4 linked regions of the Saccharomyces cerevisiae S288C genome follow. The gene in region 4 interacts genetically with the main gene of each other region. Each region holds a gene or a part of one and is shown on either strand. Other genes may lie near its edges. The genes, in order: RAD9, RTT103, HAT1 and ORC2.

What was found.
Region 1: mutations in ORC2 (region 4) and RAD9 together harm fitness more than expected from each alone (negative genetic interaction), as found in Saccharomyces cerevisiae (3 studies listed by BioGRID, with this or other methods).
Region 2: mutations in ORC2 (region 4) and RTT103 together harm fitness more than expected from each alone (negative genetic interaction), as found in Saccharomyces cerevisiae (3 studies listed by BioGRID, with this or other methods).
Region 3: mutations in ORC2 (region 4) and HAT1 together harm fitness more than expected from each alone (negative genetic interaction), as found in Saccharomyces cerevisiae (4 studies listed by BioGRID, with this or other methods).

Annotation. Positions count from the first base shown.
Region 1 is NC_001136.10:897,514-905,193, forward strand, and holds RAD9 (chromatin-binding protein RAD9), read right to left. Parts: upstream 5,968-7,680; coding exon 2,038-5,967; downstream 1-2,037. Other genes in the region: DNA-binding transcription factor ADR1, read left to right, coding at 1-1,493; septin SPR28, read right to left, coding at 6,268-7,539. UniProt on the Saccharomyces cerevisiae protein: Essential for cell cycle arrest at the G2 stage following DNA damage by X-irradiation or inactivation of DNA ligase.
Region 2 is NC_001136.10:1,036,665-1,041,533, reverse strand, and holds RTT103 (Rtt103p), read left to right. Parts: upstream 1-2,024; coding exon 2,025-3,254; downstream 3,255-4,869. Other genes in the region: HRQ1 (ATP-dependent 3'-5' DNA helicase), read right to left, coding at 1-1,806; Smc5-Smc6 complex subunit NSE3, read right to left, coding at 3,428-4,339; inositol monophosphate 1-phosphatase INM2, read right to left, coding at 4,661-4,869. UniProt on the Saccharomyces cerevisiae protein: Involved in transcription termination by RNA polymerase II and in regulation of Ty1 transposition.
Region 3 is NC_001148.4:552,452-557,284, reverse strand, and holds HAT1 (histone acetyltransferase catalytic subunit HAT1), read right to left. Parts: upstream 2,681-4,833; coding exon 1,556-2,680; downstream 1-1,555. Other genes in the region: citrate (Si)-synthase CIT3, read right to left, coding at 1-908; ESCRT-II subunit protein SNF8, read left to right, coding at 2,957-3,658; ULA1 (Ula1p), read right to left, coding at 3,877-4,833. UniProt on the Saccharomyces cerevisiae protein: Catalytic component of the histone acetylase B (HAT-B) complex. Acetylates 'Lys-12' of free histone H4 in the cytoplasm. The complex is also found in the nucleus, however it is not certain that it modifies histone H4 when packaged in chromatin.
Region 4 is NC_001134.8:359,343-364,946, forward strand, and holds ORC2 (origin recognition complex subunit 2), read right to left. Parts: upstream 3,173-5,604; coding exon 1,310-3,172; downstream 1-1,309. Other genes in the region: serine/threonine protein kinase AKL1, read right to left, coding at 1-845; tRNA methyltransferase TRM7, read right to left, coding at 5,445-5,604. UniProt on the Saccharomyces cerevisiae protein: Component of the origin recognition complex (ORC) that binds origins of replication. It has a role in both chromosomal replication and mating type transcriptional silencing. Binds to the ARS consensus sequence (ACS) of origins of replication.

The sequences.
Region 1 (7,680 bases), on a different chromosome or scaffold from region 4:
TTGGTTCTCCTCTTCAATACATCATTTTTGAGTCAAAAATTAGATGCACCTTAATGGCTTATGATTTTTGTCAGTTCTTGAAATGTTTCTTCCATATTAAATTCGATTTGTCTATAAAGGAAAAAGATGTTGAAACCATTTATATTCCCGACAATGAGTCAAAATGGGCCAGTGAATCGATAATATGTAATGGGCATGTTGTGCAAAAGCAAAATTTTTATGATTTTAGAAACTTTTATTACAGTTTCACGTATGGACACTTACACTCAATACCAGAATTTTTAGGGTCATCTATGATTTATTATGAATACGATTTAAGAAAAGGAACCAAATCACATGTGTTTTTGGATCGAATCGATACGAAAAGGCTAGAGAGGAGTCTTGACACTTCTTCCTATGGCAATGATAATATGGCAGCAACCAATAAAAATATTGCGATCTTAATTGATGACACCATAATTTTGAAAAATAATTTAATGTCAATGAGATTCATCAAACAGATTGATCGCTCGTTTACTGAGAAGGTTAGAAAAGGACAAATAGCAAAGATATATGATTCCTTTTTGAACTCTGTGAGGTTGAATTTTTTGAAGAATTATTCAGTTGAAGTATTGTGTGAATTTTTAGTAGCGTTGAACTTTTCAATCCGTAATATTTCGTCTTTATACGTAGAAGAAGAAAGTGATTGCTCCCAAAGAATGAATTCTCCAGAGCTGCCAAGGATCCACCTGAATAATCAAGCGCTTTCTGTCTTCAATTTACAAGGCTATTACTATTGCTTCATCCTAATTATCAAATTTTTATTGGATTTTGAAGCAACTCCAAATTTTAAGTTACTGAGAATTTTTATTGAGTTGAGAAGCCTTGCGAATTCTATTTTACTTCCCACACTTTCAAGATTGTATCCGCAAGAGTTTTCTGGATTTCCTGATGTTGTATTTACGCAACAATTTATAAATAAAGATAATGGTATGCTTGTCCCTGGTTTATCCGCAAATGAACACCATAATGGTGCAAGTGCAGCTGTTAAGACTAAGTTAGCCAAAAAGATCAATGTTGAAGGGCTTGCAATGTTTATTAATGAAATCCTAGTTAACTCTTTTAACGATACCTCTTTTTTGAATATGGAGGATCCTATTCGAAATGAATTTTCCTTTGATAATGGGGACAGGGCAGTGACAGACTTGCCTCGTTCAGCACATTTCCTATCGGATACCGGCCTAGAAGGTATTAACTTCAGCGGCTTAAATGATTCGCATCAAACTGTTTCTACTTTGAATCTTTTACGTTACGGGGAAAATCATTCATCAAAACATAAAAATGGTGGAAAGGGGCAAGGATTTGCCGAAAAGTACCAATTATCTCTGAAATATGTTACTATTGCCAAGTTATTTTTCACCAATGTTAAAGAAAACTACATTCATTGTCACATGTTAGATAAGATGGCAAGTGATTTCCACACTTTGGAAAATCATCTAAAGGGAAACAGTTGACGATTATGTCTCGTTGCTGATATGTGTCGTCCCAGTACTCAACTCTTTCTGATGAGATTTTGAATATCTCATTTTATTTCTCATCAAACAGCCATGCATGCGACTGAAGTGGACTACTGCGGGAGAACACCGATCTTATCTTTGAAATTGTTGCACAAAAATATTTCACTACCTTGGCGTTTCTCATCTCACCCATTGGGGTGAATCTCGTTATTGCTCCTTATTTTGGTCCATTTTATATTAAATCCTGTATCATGTTTAACATTTTTCATCTTATACCTCATACAAAAAAGAAAAGCTATTTATGAAAGTTAGTTCATTACAAGATGCAAGCCTAAAATATATGCTTGATCTTAAAATTCATGTATAGAAGAAAAAGACCTTACCAACGTTGTTGGTTACCGTGTATAACTAATACCAATCTTGAACATTAACCACTCCTGGCGTGTGGGAGGATGTTCTTAGACTTAATTAAGAATCTCTAAATTTTTTTTTATTTAATCGTCCCTTTCTATCAATTATGAGTTTATATATTTTTATAATTTCATCTAACCTCAGAAATAGTGTTGTATATATCATTGTCCGTAATATCATCGTGAAAACCAGTGTCCTCGTTAATTATTGTCTGAATTAGCCATTCTTTAGATTCAGTGTGAAATATGTAATTAAATTTCTTAAATTTCAGTGATATTTGACTTCTCAATCTTTCGAGAAGCTTCATCTGAGATTTACCATTATTTTCGTTAGCATATATGAGAAACTTTAACTTTCGATTAGATAATTCTGATCCTATTCTGGGTACTAAAGAATCTAAGGCATTTAACAATGGCTCTGTATCATCTACATCAATATTGGGTAAATCAATTGTAAGCATTCTACCTGCGCTCAAACATGCAAAAGCAAATTTGACAAAACTGTCCAACTCAGATCTACCCCAAACAATAACAATGTAGTCATTTAACATTTTCTTCACTCCACATATCTGATCTCTTAAATTAGATCCGCGTAAGAATTGTGTATAAAATGAAAAAATATTGTTGGATTTAATGATTCCTCCCTTTGATGGAGAATCTAACGATAACCGAAAACTTTCACCCGAAGGTAATAGGTATTGGTATATTAAATGTGGTACTATTCTTTTCTTTTCAATGCATGCACTTATGAATTTCCAGTGTAGTGTAGGCCACCCCAACGCCAAAGTTTCTAAGTACTTTAAGCTTCTTAAATGCCGTTTTGTGATTAGGCAAGCAAATCTGCAGTCTGCAAATAGGGAATGAGGTTTCCAGGCTAGCTTCAAGGCCAATTCTCGAATATTATCTGTATTACCTTTATTGACTAAAGATTTAGCTAGCGGATGAGTGAAGTTAAATAAAGTGGAAAATCCTGACTCAATTACAGTGCCGCCTTGCGATTCAATGGTCTGTCGAAGTTCCTCTCTATTTTCGAATAGGCTTGTCAAAACAAAAATACATTTATCAAATACATTCCCTGTTCTGATTTCACCAGAAGAAAAAAGCAGGCTTGGCGCTCCTGCATGTTCAGCTAATGCGTCTCTAGAATCCTTTTTAACAATTTCCTTCTTTTCGGAGCTCGATTCTATTTCGTTATTGTACACTTCAGTATGCGTATTTATGTCCTTTTCGTCATCAGTATGTTTCTTCGGAGACAGAACATTGGTCATTGATTTCCTTCCCCTAATGGGATGTCTCAAGTACCTATACGCGTCGCCTTTATTTTTCTCATTATCTTCTAATATGATCTTCGCTCTTTTAGCCCACTCGCTTAGGTCAAGACTGATCGAGCTTAGTGCTTTAATTAACGTCCTTTTCCCCAACAATCCGCTTGCATTTTTTTTTTTCAAATGAACCGTATCATATCCTCGAATACATCTTATTATGTTGAGATCATGGCTACGACATTCTAGACCAACGACTACGTACTCATTTCCATCAAAGGTAACAGCATCCCCTATTCTAATATCTAAGTAGTAGATGTCCTCATCTTTGGTTAGCGATCTTCCTGTTTCGAAATAAATCCAACAGCCATCTTGATTAGTGTCAACTTCCAATAAAATACCCGGATAAAATTTGTAATTCCACGTATACTGACACCATACCGCATTTCCAAAAATTATGTCGTCTTTCGATAAGAAACTATTATCTGCCGTTCTAATACCTTCAGGAAACACGTAAGACTGTTCTTTAGAGTCTTTGCCCGAACCTGTCTCCCCTGTTTGTATGGTAATGCTGCAAGACGGTTCCCTTTTGATAGAAGCAGCATCCAAATCTGAATTTCTTTTGAGGTGTTTTGTCGGTGATGTCTTAGTGCTTCTGTTCTCCTCCTCTTCACCGATCTCTATTGTATCTTTTTGACGTCGCTTTATTGTTCTTCGGTTCTGAATAATCTCCTGTGACTCACTTGGAAATAATTGCATGAGGTTTTTCTGAAGTTCTGAGCTCTGTCCTTTGCTTTCGTGTTCAATCAAAGCTACATCCAAAGACTCTGTGCCATCTTGTTTATCTGAATTGCATTCTTTATTATCATCATGAAGCTGAAGTGAGTTCCCCTTGCTTTTTTTTATCTCCATTAAAGTTTCTTCCTCGACTACCAGCTTTTTTGGAGACGTTTGAAGATCTTGCTGCTCTTCAACTTCAGGCAGTTCTTGGGTTAGTTCAACCTCGCTCATGATTGTACTTTCCTTTTTCGTATCAAGCTCATTTGGGGACATACGTTCTGTTTCATCACTTCCTGAATCAGATATTTGCTTTCCTGAAAGTTGTAAGTATATTCTATCGGTTATTTCCTTTTGTTCGTTGAAATCAGATGAACCGGCTATGATAATGTCATCTCTGGTAGCTGCATTTGAAGAATTTTGTATATCGTTTGAAAAAACATTGTTTGTCTCTACTTCTCTCTCGTGTATATTAAATGTATCTTTTTCCTTCGGAATAGGTGAAGAATTCGAGGGTTTTGACATCGTATTCTTAGATGGTGAACTAGTCTCAGGAACTTCCAATATGGGTTCAAAATTAATCCGAGAAAGAGTAACGGGAGTTTCAAAGGTTGCATTCAAAGCATTTTGTTCAGGAGAATTTATTATTTGGGTTTTTATTTCTTCTGTCTGGCCAGTAGAATGAAAAACAGGTCCCTTCTGAGCAGATATGCCTTGGGAAAGCGATGAAACAATTATCTGTGTCTCTAATTCATTATTTGTTTCGGTATTGAAACTTTTAGATAAGGGTTGCGTATCGATTGAAATACTATCTAAAGGCATTTCCTGTGTTCTTGGATTATTGACTATTTGCGTAGATCTATTGCTATTATTTTCCGTTTTGTCTTTTGAGTATCGGAATATCCACTTCTTGGATGGTTCCCGATTGTTTACACTCTCACTGGAATACATTTCTTCTTCCGCATTGTTGCGTGAAGGGGTGCCAGACACAGCACTATTAATATCGATATCTAAATTGTTCACGTCATTCTCTCTACCCGAAACATTCAGATTCTTTTCCAATTCGTTAATCTCCTCTGATTCATTACTTTGTATTATTTGATTGTTCCGTTCTCTGAGATCATCTGATGAATAGTTCTCACTTTTCTTTTTTACTGGATTTTTTTCCTCGATAGCTCCTATGTTATCTTCGTTATTGTTAAAAACCTTGTTTACATTTCTTGTGGTCCGGCCATTCCCGGTAATTTTGTTCTTGTCATAAGAGCTTATCGAATTAGGTGATTCTGCTGATATCATGATTTGAGTTTTTTGAACTCGTTCATCTTGCATTCCTCCACTTTTACTTAATTCGTCTTTATATCTTTTAGGTGTAACAATTCCTTCCAATGCACAGTCATAATTATCAGCAGAACGTTCAGCCATCTGTACAAAAGTGGCATCCGCCTCTGTAACTTCTAATGACGCATTTTCTTCTCCATCATTCTGCTCTCCATAATAGCAAAACCCAGTATCTGACTTCAACTTTTTGAAGGTTTTCTGTTCCAATGGATCAGTTGGAGTTTGAAAAGTCATTTTTTTTCTTAACATCAGAGGAGTGTCTTCCAGATCGGAGCTTTGATATTTGGTCAAAAGATTTTCTTTACCAGGGGTTCGATTGCTTTTGAAAAAGTTAGCAATTCGGTCAAGGTCAGGAGTCCTTTCATTATGCAATATGTTAGCATTTGGTCGATCATTATCTCCTACTTCAATATTTAACTCATCATCATGTCTTGGACTCTCGTCAAGTAATCCCAGAGATTTTTGAAATATCTCACTTGTATTCATAAACTTGACAGGATTTGGATTTGCTTTGGGACTTCCTTCGATTATGTTTGTGCTATTTACCTTGTTTTCCAACGGATCAACGGGAACATTCATTTCGTTCATGTCGCCATCAGCCAAGGGAGAATGCAGTGCTTCCTTTATAGCGCTTTGGGTGACTCGATCTGGAGAGCTTTTCCATTGAACTAACTGGCCTGACATAGCCCTGATGTTGAAGATTTTCTCACTATGCTCTTTTCTATGGCGTTTCTCTATCTTGCTCACTTCACATTGCTCATCGTTGCAAATATCCACGAACAAAAATCCTCGCGTGTTTAATCAGAACTGCACTCTGAAAATTCAAAGCCGTGCCAGTAATAAGAAAGACACAAGGTTATATAGAGACACATCGAGAAAGTATATTATAGATTAAAAAAATTTTGCCTTATACTTTAGTGCACTTGAAAAAGCAATAAAATTTTATTTCATATGTATCTAACGCTAACAAGGCCGTATATTTATTTAGACCTTATTTTGATGGGGAGCTGCCAACATTTTCTCCAATAAATCAATCTTCCTTTGATAGTCTTCAATAATTCTGTTTTTTTCGTCTATTTCTTTGTGTATTTGATAAGCATTTTCATCGTTTGTATCTGGATTCCCAAGTGTTCTACTTGCACTATTTCTTCTGGTGGAAACATTGCTGACACTTCCCCTTGAGGTTTCGTCGATATAGCTATAGTTTGGAATATCATAGTTGTTTTTCTTCTCAGTTAACACTTTAGCCCTATAATTTTCATACAATACGTTGTTTGTTACATCTTTTAATTCCTGAAGGTGAGAACCTAACAGTATTGCTTTTAAGTATATAAAATCGGAGGTGTTTTGGTCTTCGACCACCAAGCTACCCCATTCGTACGTTCTGATATGCTCAACCCTATTTTCCGAATTTTTATTAAAAGTTTTGCTGCAAACAATGGCAAATGGCGATATTTCCTTGATCTTCGTGTCATTATCGTATTTGGATTTTGCTGAACTGGAATCGATGTCCATATCGTACAGAGCTAATGTTTCGCCTAGGGTGTCACTTTTAAAATCAAAAACACGTATATTGTTCTGAGAGATTTCTTGGCGCACAATGTCTTTGTGTAAATTTAATTCAGTTTCTGTGAGACCATCGGCTTTTGGAATAATGGGAATTAAATTAACTTTATCACAAATCGTTTTCATTAACTCAATATCAAATTTTTTGACTCCTCTTGGAGTACTCTTCAGAAAGTATAAACAAACATGAGGCCTCCCATCAGTTTCTTTTGTGTTTCTCTTTATTCTGACCTCTTCTTTTAAAACATTTGCAAACTGTTGGTCTAAGTAGTTTTTTATAACAACAGAGCTTTGTGAATTGTCGACATTGTCACCGCAGCCTGGAAACAATATGATATCTAATGTTATGGGTACGCCTAGTTCATCGTTCAAATACACTCTTCTGGTGACAAGCTTCAGCCCAGGACTCAAATGGGCTGTTTTATATCCAGGATCTATATCTTCGATGGCGTTTCCATTTTCTGGTGTTACATTATTTGTCACTTTATCATCATCATCATCATAATCCCCATCAGAAAGCGATATATCCTGACCGCACAGATTGTTTAAAAACGTTGATTTGCCGCTGCCTTTTTCTCCAAGTAACAAAATTGACAACTGCAGTCCTTTCTTGTAACCCTTGCGACGTCTTAACTCATCTCTGCTGAGAGTATGTTGTTCAAGAGCTGAGTGATCTTTCATTGGGAACATTTGATTATTTACTGACTTTATGTACGTATAGTAGCTCTTTTTTTGTATCGATTTATAAAAATGCCTGTTCTTACTATTCTTATGGGAATGACACAAAATGTAGACGCATGTCTTTTTCAGGCGTCCTTAATATGAGCGATC
Region 2 (4,869 bases), on a different chromosome or scaffold from region 4:
AATACCAAGTTCTAGAGCATTGGTAGATATGACAGCCTTTAAATTTCCGTGAAACATCTCACGTTCTATTTTACGTCTGTCGGAAGCAGAATAACCACCCCTGTAAGACATGACTTCTGTAACCAGATCCTCACGCCCAGTTTCAATAAAAATATTGCGAACTTCTTTCATCAACAATTCACAAACACGACGAACGTAGCAAAATGCTATGGTTCTTACGTTGTTCAATATCAATTGTACCAATATCTTTGCACTCTCTCTAATGAAATTTTCTCGTTTACGTTCGTGTTGAGGTAAAATTGGAGGATTCCACACCACTAGATGCTTAGCACCTGTAGGTGAGCCATCCTCGTGTATTAGCGTAACCTCATTAATTCCAAACATGTCCTTCATATGTTGTACTGGAGACTTTAAAGTTGCAGAACATGAAATAAATTGTAAACCACTATTTTCGTAAAAACAGTGGCACAGTCTTAGTAAACGTCTCATCACTAATGCCACGTGCGATCCAAATAAACCCTTATATATATGCAATTCATCGACCACCACTAACTTTAGATGGTACAAAAAATGTCTCCAATTTGCATGATTAGGTAAAATGCTGGTATGTATCATGTCAGGATTGGTAAAAATAACTCTAGCATTTTTACGAATATAAGCTCTTTCCTCTGGCTCCGTATCGCCGTCATACGTATCAACCACGGCATTCTTTAGCTCGGGGATCTTTGAAAGTATTACCTTGAATGCTCTTTTTTGATCTTGTGCCAGGGCCTTTGTTGGAAATATATACATAAACGTTGATTCAGGATCCTTTAAAAGAAGATCGATAGCTGCTAGTTGGTAAATAAGGGATTTACCTGAAGAGGTCGATGTTGTAATAATGACGTTTTCGCCTTGATGAAGACTGTTTATCGCATCTGCTTGATGGCTGTAGAAATTTTCGTGTTCCATACCCTGATATACTTCCGGTGCAAGCTCAAAACAGAGACCTTTATACTTCGCTGTTCTTGATGGTATTGTAAAACAATGCTTTATCTGAGAAGCGTAGAATTCAGTACTTTTTAATTTCTCAATCATTTGAGGAATTGTTGTTATCACTGAATTATTGGAATAATTGGGAATGCTCATCTCATTACTTTCTTGCTTCGCCTTCATCATTGCCTCAATAGGATCCTCATAATCTCTCTCCCTTGGAATATATTTCTGCGCTAGATTTGTTAACTCAGAAAATGGGTCAAGGTTAGCCTTTTCCTTTTCCAGGATAAATTCCCGTAGTCTGGATTTAAAGAGAGCTTCCCTTTTAGAAATCATCTTTTTCATTTCCTCCGTAGTATATGTTGGTATCTTTATTTGAGAAAATCTATCACTTGCAGACCATGAGCGTTGCATTGTACCGTCTATAAATTCAAATATAAGTAACTGAGTAGATTTTTGAGTCTGATTTTGGTCATCAACGTCCTTCAGTTCAAATATGTCATTTTCCTTCTGCTGAAAGCCGCCATTATTGAAGTCAAAAATCTTAGTTTCAGTATAAATTTGGTTCTCATCAATATACTTGAAAACACATTCTCTTGGCATTAGCGCCATAACCATGGCTAGGTCTTCTTTCGTCACAGTTCTTTTCAAAGCAGTTTCTATAGGTCCACAAAGTGTTTTAAATGTAGGCACAACATGCTTTCTGCAAATCAAAAAGGTGTAAAGAGTATTAAGGCGGAAAAAAAATTGTTCAAAATTTCTAAAGGCATCGGTCTTTCCACTCCCTTGACCTGCTGACTTCAGTTTCTTTTTGATAGGTCCTTCCTCCATTTTTCCTTCTCAAATGAACATTTCTTTTCTACGACCTTAACCATCTCAATATGTATAACGGTTCTGTTTTATAACGAAAAATGAAAAAGTTATTTTTTTCCTTTAAAAATATATAAACTTGAAAAGCCAACATAATAATATAAGTACAAGCGAAGAAGGTTTTAACGAAGAGGTAGAAAATTTGAAGAAAGCAATAATCCAAGATTAAAATAGACGGTATGCCTTTCTCTTCTGAGCAATTCACAACCAAATTAAATACGTTGGAAGATTCCCAAGAATCTATTTCCAGTGCCTCAAAGTGGTTGCTTCTACAGTATAGAGATGCTCCCAAAGTGGCAGAAATGTGGAAAGAATACATGTTAAGGCCTAGTGTAAACACAAGAAGGAAGTTATTGGGTCTTTACTTAATGAATCATGTTGTTCAACAGGCTAAAGGTCAAAAAATTATTCAATTTCAAGATTCCTTTGGAAAGGTGGCAGCAGAAGTATTGGGAAGAATTAATCAAGAGTTTCCGAGGGACCTAAAAAAGAAGTTGTCAAGAGTTGTGAATATACTAAAAGAAAGAAATATATTTTCCAAGCAGGTAGTCAATGACATAGAAAGAAGTCTTAAAACCGAGAGCTCACCAGTGGAAGCGTTGGTGTTACCCCAGAAATTGAAAGATTTTGCTAAGGACTATGAAAAATTAGTGAAAATGCACCATAATGTTTGCGCGATGAAAATGAGATTTGACAAATCATCAGATGAATTGGATCCATCCAGCTCAGTTTACGAGGAAAATTTTAAAACAATAAGTAAGATTGGGAACATGGCTAAAGATATAATAAATGAATCAATTCTAAAAAGAGAAAGCGGTATCCATAAACTGCAAAGCACACTGGACGATGAAAAAAGGCATCTAGATGAGGAACAGAATATGTTAAGTGAAATAGAATTCGTTTTATCTGCTAAAGACCCATCCAGATTAAATAAAAACGTTGATGAAGACAATATTATTCCTACGTATGAAGTGGGGGATGGAGATGACGATGACGATGATGGTGATAATGATGATGATGATGATGATGATGATGATGACAAAAATTACGATGATAGATCCAATGACAGCAATTATGGCGTTACTAATATTAGCACCACAGATAAGAAGAATGAAGTTGTAGAAAAGACAGATAGCGAACATAAAAACTCTACTCATAATCCTAGTGACAATCAATTTGGTATGAAACGAACACATGATATGATAGGTCATGATGACGCTAATGACATACCGGAAAAAAAGGTTCATCTTGATTCGAAGACGAGTGAAGATGGTACTTTCAACAGTGAGGATGGACATTATGAGTTAGATATAGAAGGCCACGTCGGCGCCCAAACCGACGAAGGTGTTGAGAATTCCGGAGGGGTTTCTTCTAGTATACAAGACTTGTTAAGTAAGCTTGCAAATTAATATGATGGTTGAGTAAAAAGAAAACAAGGAGATAACTTATACAAATATATAGTAACCCGTTTAAGTCCAGTCTTTTTTCGTAACTATTTGCCCATAGTTTATTTCGTATTCATCTTCACTATTTCCTCGACAAAAAAGATGCGCACCTAAACTACATGGACACCTATGCAATGCTATATAGAATATGAATCGCCAATGCTTTTTATTATATCATCGTGCAAACTTTTAGTCTGCTCCTTTTCAAGGCCCATGATTTCTTGCACCAATTTTTCAAGAGACTCTAGTCCAAGCTCAGCCTGAGTTCTTCTACCTATCCTGTATGATATCACTTCCCCGTCGGTATCGGATTTCTCCTCCAATCTGACTATATATTCGCGCTTTTCTAAACTTTTTATCAAATCTTCAATAGTAATGTTCAGTATAGCAATCTTTGAACCATCGCTTGGAATGCCAAATGTCTCTAGAAATTTGATCAATTCCTGATGTAATATGTTATTCTTAGAGAAGAAAACAATGCATAAAATGACGCTCAAAACACCCTTGTAAACAAGATCTCGATCTGTACTCAACTTGCTTTCTAAGGTATTGGAAGTTCCTGAAGCTATATCGTCACCAATATACTCTCCGGTAACTATTAGCTCTTCATAAGTGTGAGCGCTTTGTAAAATCTTGAAATCGTCAAAATTTTTTGAGTGCGGGACATTGTTTAGCAAGATAAATTTCTGGGCTCTATGTCCCAGTGGCTCAGGCATTGATTTATTTGTATTGCTATTGCTTCCATTACCGCCAGCGTTCATATTATTTTTTGACGGCAATCCTTGTAATTCAAACCCATATACGTTATACAGTATAGCATTTATGTCCATAAACATTTTACTAAAAGACGGTTTTGCTATGTTTTCCTCGCGAGCAGCTTCATGTATAACAGATTGTAACTTGTTTCTTGTTATGATCGAATTTTGAGATTCTCCTCTCGATAAAATATACCTAACCATTTTTCTAGCTACAGGATTCTCTTTAACGATCTTGGCCACGGCTAAATCTTCTGTTAAATCCACATCGCTGTCATTATCTATAGAACTCATGCTAATGAGAAGCTTATGTTTATCGAACAACCTTCCCTTGTAGCATACTGATATAGGACCCCTTCAATCGAAGTTGATAATAAGCGCATTACTCTTCATTGAAATTTTTCTTCACGTATATCGCGCTGTTAAAGGAGAGGGCCGCATGCATGTAATACTTGCTATTCTTGAGTCAGAAGCCCACACTAAGTGACCTGTGAAATCAAGTTGCTGCTTCAAGATATCGTCCTGTACTGGAAAAAAATACTAGTAGGAATTGCGTGAAGTACTATATAAACTTTTCTTAGATGTAGCTTATTTAACGACACCTGAGGGGGGCATTTAGTATTCTAACTCACCCGCAACGTGAGGCCAAAACGATTCTGCAAATCGCTTCTGCTCCATCGACTCACATCCACCTCTAATAGCCAAGTAACATCTTCTGTCTAATGGAATGTTCCATTCTCCACAATTTCCGCCAACCATTATTCCTCCTGCTTCCTCAAGAATACACCAACCGGCACAAACATCCCAAGCCCAGCAGCCACCTT
Region 3 (4,833 bases), on a different chromosome or scaffold from region 4:
TAGCTGAGATACGGGTCACTCAACGCACTTCCAACCAAGTGGGTGGTGTGAGCAGAAACATTACCACCTTCATGGTCTACATGTATACCGGTATATAACCGCATCAAGTTTATGAAGTCCAGGGATTGCTGGGAAGTAAGGTTGCATGTATTAGAAGAGTTCGTTCCATTTGTCATGCCGAGCAGGGAACATATGTTTGTACACCAATCCACCTCCTCACTATATTGACCTAATGGGTGTCCCTCATTTGTAATGTTCGAATAAATTCTCCCAGTCAGCAGCGGGAGTGAAGCAATTAAATTTAGCGAATCTTCAAGAGTATCTTTCCAAAATTCCATCTTTCCTATGAGGCCCTTTTGGTAGTTTGTAGCAAAGAGGGATCCTTTGTTCATTGATGCTAAACCAATTGCAAGTTGGGTCATAGGGTGCATATCTTTGGGTAAACTTGACAAAACTTTCTCTGTATAATGTGGCAATTTCCTTCCACGAATAGCCAATTCTTTCCTGAAAGAAGCAGCTTGCTGGAAAGTTGGCACACCACCTGTCATCAACAGCCATAACATTGATTCTGGCAGGAAATTATCGCCATCAATACCTGTATTAGGTAATCTATTTTGACATTCTTCAATCGTTAAACCTTGAAATTTAATGCCATGTTCGGGATCTAATGATGTTCCTTGCCAAAACATTGACTGATTACCTCTCATCCCACCTAGAACTGATGAAATGGTAATCGGTCCGACAAACGTGCTGCCATAACAGGCCTTCAATTTCTTCACAGCATCTCTTTTCTTAGGTATCACGTTTTCTAATGCTTCCTTGAGAGTCAATGCAGAAGACTTTATAATTGCAGACGAATTGAAGGACCTTCTGCATATATGTGCGCCCGGTAGAAGCCTTTGTACCATTTTGTATTCAATTATTTAGCGGCGTCTATGTATAAATTCTTGATCAAATACGATCTTTTTTTTATGATTAGAATGCTTGACAAGCCAGTCATCTTAAATACATAGGGATGAAAAAGCTTTATCTCCTATTTAAGGTCATCCATTTTCAGTGTGGAGTAAGTCATCAAAACTGCTATTTAGCCGCTTTGCCGATTTCGCTTTAGAACCGCTACCATGGTGTGTCACTTCCCCAATTTTATTTTTCTGTTCAAATTGTTTGCTCATAGAAATATTTATGTTTTTTTGTCTTTCAACTGAATAATATTTCTATTTTCGGAAATCTTAACCAACAAAAAACAATTTTTTATTTTTGTTTAATTTAAAGAAAAAAATTATTTTTATAATTAAAAAAAATTAAAAATAAAAAATATATCATGTGATCTATTTGTGATCACTACCATGATAAGAAATTTTATATCAGTCAAGATAATCTCTTTAATATAACCTGTAATTTAGAATTACGACAACATAACGGCTTCAACCTTTGCATAAGCTTATATTAACTATAGAGACACTTTGATGATCATCTCGATGATGTATTTATAAAAGAATTTCTTATTTCAGGCTTGTTAAACAAATAAATATGTTATTATATATTTAATAAACAGTTAACCTTGAGATTTATTTATCGACTCTATAATACGCCTATAATCATCTTTGACTAAAATAAATGAATTTTGTAAAGCTTCTCTTGCCTTTTCTGGATCAGTTTGATCTAGGGCATCATAATTTTTAATGTACAACCTATTCTTTACCTTTAATTCAAATGATGGAGAATTGTTTAAAAGAAGAAGCATTTCCACAAGACGATTAAACTGTCTTTCTTCCAGTTTTAAAGATTTTCGGCTTGACTCCAAAAACTCATCAGAAAGGTCGGAGTGCTTCTGAAAGACAGCATCATAACCAAGTTTTCGCAGTCTTTGAATATCATTCCTGTCGCGAAGATCGTCAAATGCTTCGTTTGGATCCTCTACAGTAATTTCAGTAATACTTTTGTCTTCTAGCCAAGATTGGATTATAGCCTCATAAAGACAGGATCCGTGGCCTTTATTTTGATAAGGTGGAAAGATCAGAAATTGAGATATTTTGGCTCTGAATTTTTTATCTATATCCTCATCGAAAGATTTTGCTCCAAGGTAGTGCCAATACTTGTAAGTAGTGACGAAACCAATCAATTCTTTTGTTTTCTTGTTCAACAACCAATAGATTTGCCAACTCGGGTCAGTCTCATCTATATAGTTAGCGGCTTCGATAAAAAGTAATGAAAAGATTTGAACACGACGATGCATTCTCCTGGCAAAATCGTCAACCAAACTCGATTTATATACAACAAATTCTTCCCCATTCAACGAATACTCTGATACTTTTTCAAAAACATCAGATAAATTATGTGTTTTTCGTTCTTCTGCAAAGCAATCTACCCATTTAGCTTCATCCCTAACAATTACATCATCCTTTGGTAGAAATGAGAGTAATTTTTTTTCCACGTCTACAATATTGTCGTCTCCTAATTTTGCTGAATACTTGACGTTAACATACGGCTTGAATGTTACTGAATCAAATGCTAGGTGGATGATGAGATCCTTATAGCCGTAGATCTTTTCGGAGTCACCGTAAATTGGATACGTGAATAATGGTGAAAACTGAACAGCGTTTTCTCCAACTATAGAAACTCTTAAGGCTTCGTTGGCGCTTGAAGTCCACGTTTCAGGCTTGAAATCATTGGCAGACATATTCTTGATTCTCACTATAGTTATAGCTTAAGCATAATTTTGCTGAAAACAATTCCAGAAAGATCTATTCCTAACTTCAAGTAGAAATACATAGAAATCTAATAAATTCGTTATTCGAAGACAATATATTTATCACTTATAACGGTGTGCTATTTCAAGAACTTAATCCATCAATTCTGGGATATATTATAACCTTTTGAGGCGATGCAGTAGACCAAAGACTTTACCACGACTTGAAAATGCTTGGCGTAACAGCCAACTTCGAAACTCACTAACATGAAACAGTTTGGACTGGCAGCCTTTGACGAGTTGAAGGATGGAAAGTACAATGACGTAAACAAAACCATACTTGAAAAGCAATCTGTCGAACTAAGGGACCAATTAATGGTATTCCAAGAACGACTGGTAGAATTTGCCAAGAAACACAATAGCGAGCTTCAAGCTTCACCTGAATTCCGCTCAAAATTCATGCATATGTGCTCATCTATTGGGATTGATCCCCTATCTTTATTTGATCGAGATAAGCACTTATTTACAGTGAATGATTTTTATTATGAAGTATGTCTTAAAGTTATAGAAATTTGTCGGCAAACTAAAGATATGAATGGAGGCGTCATTTCTTTTCAAGAGTTGGAGAAGGTGCATTTTCGTAAGCTGAATGTTGGACTCGATGATTTGGAAAAATCTATCGACATGCTAAAGAGCCTAGAGTGTTTTGAGATATTTCAAATTCGCGGCAAAAAGTTTTTACGAAGTGTTCCAAATGAGTTGACATCAGATCAAACAAAGATTTTGGAAATATGCTCAATTCTGGGCTACTCAAGTATCTCTTTATTAAAGGCAAACTTGGGATGGGAGGCTGTTAGGAGTAAATCTGCTCTTGATGAAATGGTCGCTAACGGTTTATTGTGGATTGATTATCAAGGTGGTGCAGAGGCGTTGTATTGGGATCCCTCTTGGATTACGAGGCAACTGTGAGATAGTTGACTTGAACAGGAATGGTGGATGAGCGTTAAGTATTTATCGATGTTGTATTTTATTGAGCACAGTTCTTACCGGTGATCTCTCGTTGTTGTAAACATTCGATATCATATGCATCATAAAAGTTTACATTTAGTCTTTATTTGCATCAACGCAAACCAGGGAAGTACAATAAAATAAGCATTCTATGAACTCGGAGAGCTGACGAAAAAATTTTATATTTTATATGTTGCGGATGAATTATTAATGCCATTATATAAAAATAGGTTATCAATAGGAACGTAATGGTGTGTGATAAGCTTTATAGCCTCTTGAACCACTGCACCTCCAAAAAAGGCCATTACGGAATAGTTATCGTCGACTCGTAAACCAATAAACTCATCTTTATCCTCTGCAGTTACTGCCGGTTGCTCCCAGAATTGGACCATAACTAATGCATCTAAAAGGGCATTCGAGGTGCTAAAAATACCTAACAAGTCACTTTTTGGCGGCAATATTTTCCTGACCTCCCCGTAATGAGAACAAAATGTCTCCAAGACATCCTGTGAAACTATTTTTTTACTGCGAGCCAAACTTTCCTCCACACGAGACTTGTCAAGCTTTGCTTTTACTTCATACAGTTTCTTGAGTCTGATATAATTTTCCGTTGTTGACTCCATATCTGGGAGAGTGCCCGTTAAAGGTTGAAAGCTGAGCTCCCCATTCTCTTTAGCAATATTTTTCAAAGTCAATAATAGTGTGAGAATCTCGTAGTTATAAGTATCATGCCAATCGTTCCCATAATCTGATATTTCCAAATTTCGGAGCAGATCTTCCAGTTCTTTACAACAATCATTTTGAGAGCAGGCCAAGTAAGCATAGCGTTTAGCTTCCACATAATTGGGTTCGTAGATAACATCATTCCCTAAAGGAAGGCAAATTTGGTCTAAAACTTTCTTCATCTGATCAATCGTTATCCTCCCATTATTACCATCCCTTTCAAGTTTTGCAATACACTTCATGAGCAAAACAGTATATGGAATACCAGAAAACGTGGCTGTATCCATTTTACTTAGGTCAAATGTATCTACGTAATTTATTAGTTCAGGCCAAGGGTTCTGTAACCGTAAATCATACTTCTTACTATCTGGGTGTGCTTGCAAAACAAAATGTGTTTCTGAGAGTACCAGATA
Region 4 (5,604 bases):
TCATATTTGGAATGTAATATAGCAAATTGACCTGTCATTTCAAAAGGGGTGGTGAAAAATAATAATTTGTAAAGGAAAACTCCCAAAGCCCATATGTCTGATTTTTCGTTAATGGGCAGACATCTGTAAAGGTCAATCATTTCAGGGGACCTATACTGCGGAGTAGTATGCACATAGATGTTTTGAGTCAAAAGAGCAATATCTTGATGAGTAGTGACAATTGGGAAACATGTCGACGTGGACCCAAAATCAGCTAGCTTGAAATTGTTTTTGGCATCTACCAAGACATTTTCAATCTTGATATCGCGATGGATCAAGGACACAGGAAGGTAGTGCATTTGAGAGATAGAAAGAGCAACGTCATACATAATTTTCACAATTTCAGCTTCTGTCAGTTTCGTTGACAATCGTTGGTTCATATAATCTAGCAAAGATTTGTTTGGACACAATTCCATTAGCAAAAGAACCTCAAATCCTTGAACGCCATCACGACGGCGAGAGGCGTTGGAATCGAAGTATTGTACTATATTTGGGGCCCCTTTCAATTTCTTCATTACCTCCACTTCATTTCTCATCTCGTTCAATCCATTCTCATCTTGAACTAATACTCTTTTCAGACATGCGACATCGCCAATCTTTAAGGGAACACTTGCTGTATTATCAAATTCATTAAGATACTCTAGGAATTTCACCACGTAAATTTGAGCAAAGCCACCTTCTGCTAAATAATTTACCACTTCAACTTTATGTGTGCCTACGCAGACAATATGGCCTGGAGTGTACCTCTCTACCGCCGGATGGCCCATTGCCGAAACGCTTCTAGAAGTACCATTCGTGATCGACATGATCAGTGCTAATTAGAAAGAAAATAACAGGCGACAGGGACGAAAACAAGAGCTTGGGAAAACGTAATAGCAAAAAATGAATGGCAACTAAAATTATCTCTATGATGTCCTGTGTTGCTTATGCTCCCGAGGCACCGATTCTGATTCAACAATGCTATTGAATTTACTCATTCAAGAAAGGGGGTTCATAGGATTATGGCTTTTATTCAGTATTTTTAAGTTTTTTCGGTTATTGAGCTCTGAATAGGGCATTTTCAGAATGGCGGGGTTCACCTAAAAAAAATGAAAAACAAATATAGGTCATAACTCGTCTGAATTTTCGAAGAGCTCATCAGACGTTTTTCAGTAGGGTTATATGAGAAGTTTTTTAGTCGTTTTAAGATACATCACTAAGTATTGTTGGTTATGGGAAAGCAAAGCTAGCAAGCCTAGTACTATTACAATTGTTCGTGATATGTATACATTTATAGAGTATTTAAAACGGTTTTCAGAAGTTTTTCAAGTTCCGCATACGTGTAGGGTACCCAAATAATTTCCATTCCAGAATTGTTCTTAGTTATGTTGGCCATTTTATGTTCTATGAATTCTCTAAGCATCGACCTTAGAGCTATCTCATTAGAAGCAATAAAATCAGCGGCACAGAGATGGTTGAAAAGTTTAAGTTCTACTCCAGTTCTTTGAGTACCACGCTTAGGACCTGTGTTAGCGGATAGATTCCCCATATTCTGCATTTGTGTTTCAATAAGCAACTTATACATCTTCTTGGAGTTCACAGTAAGTGATTGTAAGACGTATTTCGCACCTTCAGCACCACTGCTGGTATCGCTTTTACCCATCTTCATCACATCTTGGAACGTAGACTCGACTGTCGACGGTTCAAAATTCGAAATATCATGAAAGACAAAGTTGTAGTTTTGGGCCTTCATGTTGTCCCAGAGGAGCGGAGCGTAAATGTGGTCTGTAGAGGCGACTATGGCGATTTGTCTGATGACGGAGAGGAAGCTTAGCATCGTCTGAAAAGTGTTTTTCCTTATGCTAGGACCATCCAGATTATGCACTACAAGTATTAATTTGATATCTAAAGGTTGATTTTTGTAGAAATCAATCATCTTTTGGATCTGCAAAATCACATGATTGCCCCAGTACTTAGTTTCGCTTCTTGTCAACTCAGCGGGGACCAAAAGATCGGTAATCTCTTTGAAGACGTCACGATAGTTACAGCTAGGGTTGTAACCATTTAAAATAAGGCATGGGATGGAATTTACAGGTTTGTTTTGTTGTAATTCATTCTCATAAGCCAGTTGCGAGTACGCGATTTTCGGAGACAAGTAGTCAATGGCAAACTCTTCCAAAAAATTACGTTTCGAACCTACACCATAAAATAATAAGGAGAATCCTTGAGTCAATTCAAACCAATACTGGGGAAACATTTTTTTCTGAATTTCAAATAACTTTTGCCTGGGACGTTTTTGAAAATTTTCGTTGAAAAAGTTTGATACTAGGGAAAACTCTTCTCTGGTAACGTCAGGTGCCATTGACATGGTGTGCCTTGACTTCGCATTAGTTCTGACAATTTTTCTTTGGTCGAAATATCCTTCAAAAGTATCCAAAAACGAGCTTGCTGACTTGGTTTCCGAAGTTTGGTAGAGCTTTTTATTTTTCGGTACAGGGGTTGGAGTAAAATTTCTACTCAAGGTTAATTTACCTGGGGAGGTTGAGTCTTTATATTCTTTTAAATTATTCATTATAATTTGCTTTAGGGGCGAAGTAAAATCATGATTAGTGGTTAAAGACTTCTTAGATGGTGTTGCAGGTTCTGGTGGCTCGGGTGAATTTGATACAAAATTATCATCAGTTTGTGGAGTCACATTATCTTCATATGTTGTGGTCGCTACCTGTATTTTTTCGCGTTCTCTTTTCTCTTTTATCCCCGTCTTTTCCATCACCTGCTTGTTGTTAGAAGTCTTGCTTTCCTCATTGACATTACCTGATGTATCTTTGTCCAATTTCCTCTTTTTCTTAGAGGAAATTGTATCTTTCTCATCCTTCTTGATCCTATCAGTTAATTCTTCCTGTATCTTTCTTGGTCTTCCACGTTTACGGGGAGCTTTACTTGGCGTTTTAGGTTTGAGTGCCGGATCTGGAGATGTATTTTTCCTTTCGTTGCCTACAAGCGAGATTCTTTCCAACAAATTCTTCTTTGATGAATGAATTCTTCTCAGTTGTCTTTCTCCATGTGGGTCAACCCTTTTTGGGGTTACATTCCTGCTTTTTGCCGGAGACGATAGGATATCATTATGCTCTACAAAGTCTTCCCCATTTAGCATGTTATGGCAATTCGCAGTACTACAAAAACTTGTTTTAAAGATATAGCAAATAAGATCAATGATCAATTATCAAATACAATTTCAGCTAATATATTCTACTTTGTCTTAATTTAAAGGTGGTTCCTATTTCTTTATAACTTTTACACATTGTGAAGAATAACAATTCTGCTTACTATTGTCATTTCCACCTCAATGATGCGGTGAGTGGGTGTTCTGAAAAATTTTCCCGATTTTGCTAGACTAGAAATTGGTACTAGCTGATCCATATCACATTTACGCGAATAAGTCGATATTTATGCATGGATATTTGGCCTTTTACGACACTTATTCTTATGATCCATTGAAAGATGGTTCATATTACATATAAAGGTGCCACAGCAAGTTAATGTCACGGCAGCTAGTGACGCTATTGCTAGTTTACACCTAGATGAGGCCACTGGAGAAATGGTCTCTAAGACAGAGTTGAAGAAGCGTATTAAGGGAATACAAATTGAGGCCAAAAAGCTGTCAAAAAGACTCTTGCGAAACCAAAACCAGCTTCGAAAAGACTAATTTCCTGGCCGGTTTATAGTCATCTCAATACTAGATCACAGCAAATCCAATTAAGAAACAGACTCTTGATATAAATTTTTATCCATACAAGTTCCGATTATATATATTCAATCCTGAATTTTTGGCCAAGTATGCCCATTCAAAAAGGCGAAAATTTCCCTTAAGAGAAGTTTCACATTGCTAGGAGAGTTCATGCAGAAAGAGAATCAGCTTAAAAATTGAAATTCTACGTTCTCAATGGTGGTGTTGAGCTCTAAATTATTTTACAATTTCAGGATTATTACGACGAGAACCCATAAAAAGGAGCATGACCTTTAAGGAGGAGTAATATATATCCACCAAAGAAGACCGGCGGAGATGAGATATATTTTTTTCGTTAACAGAGTGCAATTGACAACTTGTTTGCACTTGCCTGCTAACTGTTTTGGTTTCAAAGATCAAGAAAATAGATAGAACCCGTTTTATTATTCAATTGACATCGCCCGTTATATCAGACGATTTTTGGATCAAAAAAAGTTTATTGGAGCAGAAGCAATTCTGAAATGAAGGTCCTAATATGACCCCAATATGACACATAATTCGGAATCTGCCACTTGTGAGTTTTATCAAGCCTATGCGGATGTTTGTGACTAGTTGGATATGACTGAATTAATACTTTCAGAAATGGACAAGGAGATATGTGATTCTCTATTATCAAATACCATTTGAACCTTACTGGTCCAGCTAAAAAAGAGCTAGAATTCATCTGTTCTAGCCCATGGAAGAGAACCGATATGATTGGCAGATAGAAACCATACTGATTCGCGTCGTATCTAGCACAACCCACGTAAGAACCTTAATTGACGAACAGTCAAACCTTCTTGGCTTTTACAACCGAGAGGAAATACTAAGTCAACATCAAGGTGGCAAACACAATTCACAGTATCTAATTTTTCGTTATATCACATTGGAAAAAGTATTAACGTATAATTTCCATCTGCTGAGCACTTGCTGCCGTTGAGACCGGCGAATTTTTGAAAGAAGTGTATGCCAATAATAAATTGGAAAGCCCATTAAATAATGCTCTTATGTTGGATAAGCTTTCTTCGGTGGAATAAAAGGCACATGTATCAACCTGACTTTCACTTTTACTTAACCCCAAGCTATGTCTCCATTGGCCAGGTACTCAAAAGAACAACCGGGTTTATGTGAGCGTTTCGAGGTTTTTGTATCTAAAAAGGAGATATGTAATGCGTAAACCCGAACTGAACAATTCGTTTGACCAAAAGGGGCTTTCCTACAAACAAGCAGGGCAATAGGAGCAAGGCAAATGGATCAAGGTGATGCTTATGCATAATTTATACGATGGAATCCTTTGTAATGCTCCGTACTACGGTTTACCACCAACCGGCTTTTGGGTTGTAATATTGACAGATTCACCATGTTCTCAATGGTTCTGTCACAATTCGAAAGTTCTATTACTCGCAAATTCGAAAGCAGATGTTTTAAGAGACGAGGTGAAGTAAAAAAGAAGAAAAATGATTGCCATACTCCTCAATGCTTGCATGTAATATAATATAATATAATTACTGTTTCATTTTCTTTTATATTATACAATGGATATTCTACATAACCGTAACCTATATCGTTTTTAATGATTGCAAGGAAAAGTTGATTTTGTAGATAATCTTATAATGTAGTGACTTATTTAATTGTTTGATTAGAGGTAGTAATATTGCAATCAAACTGATCTAGTGAGTTTCCCGCTCCTTTTTAATTCCAAAGCTTTCTTGTAGGGAGGGTTCGTCGGGCTTTGAACAGGATCTAAGGACGATGAAGTGCCTGCAACCGAAGAAGGTAGGTCATGATAAGTGGCATCTGAGTCGAAACTTTGAAGACTT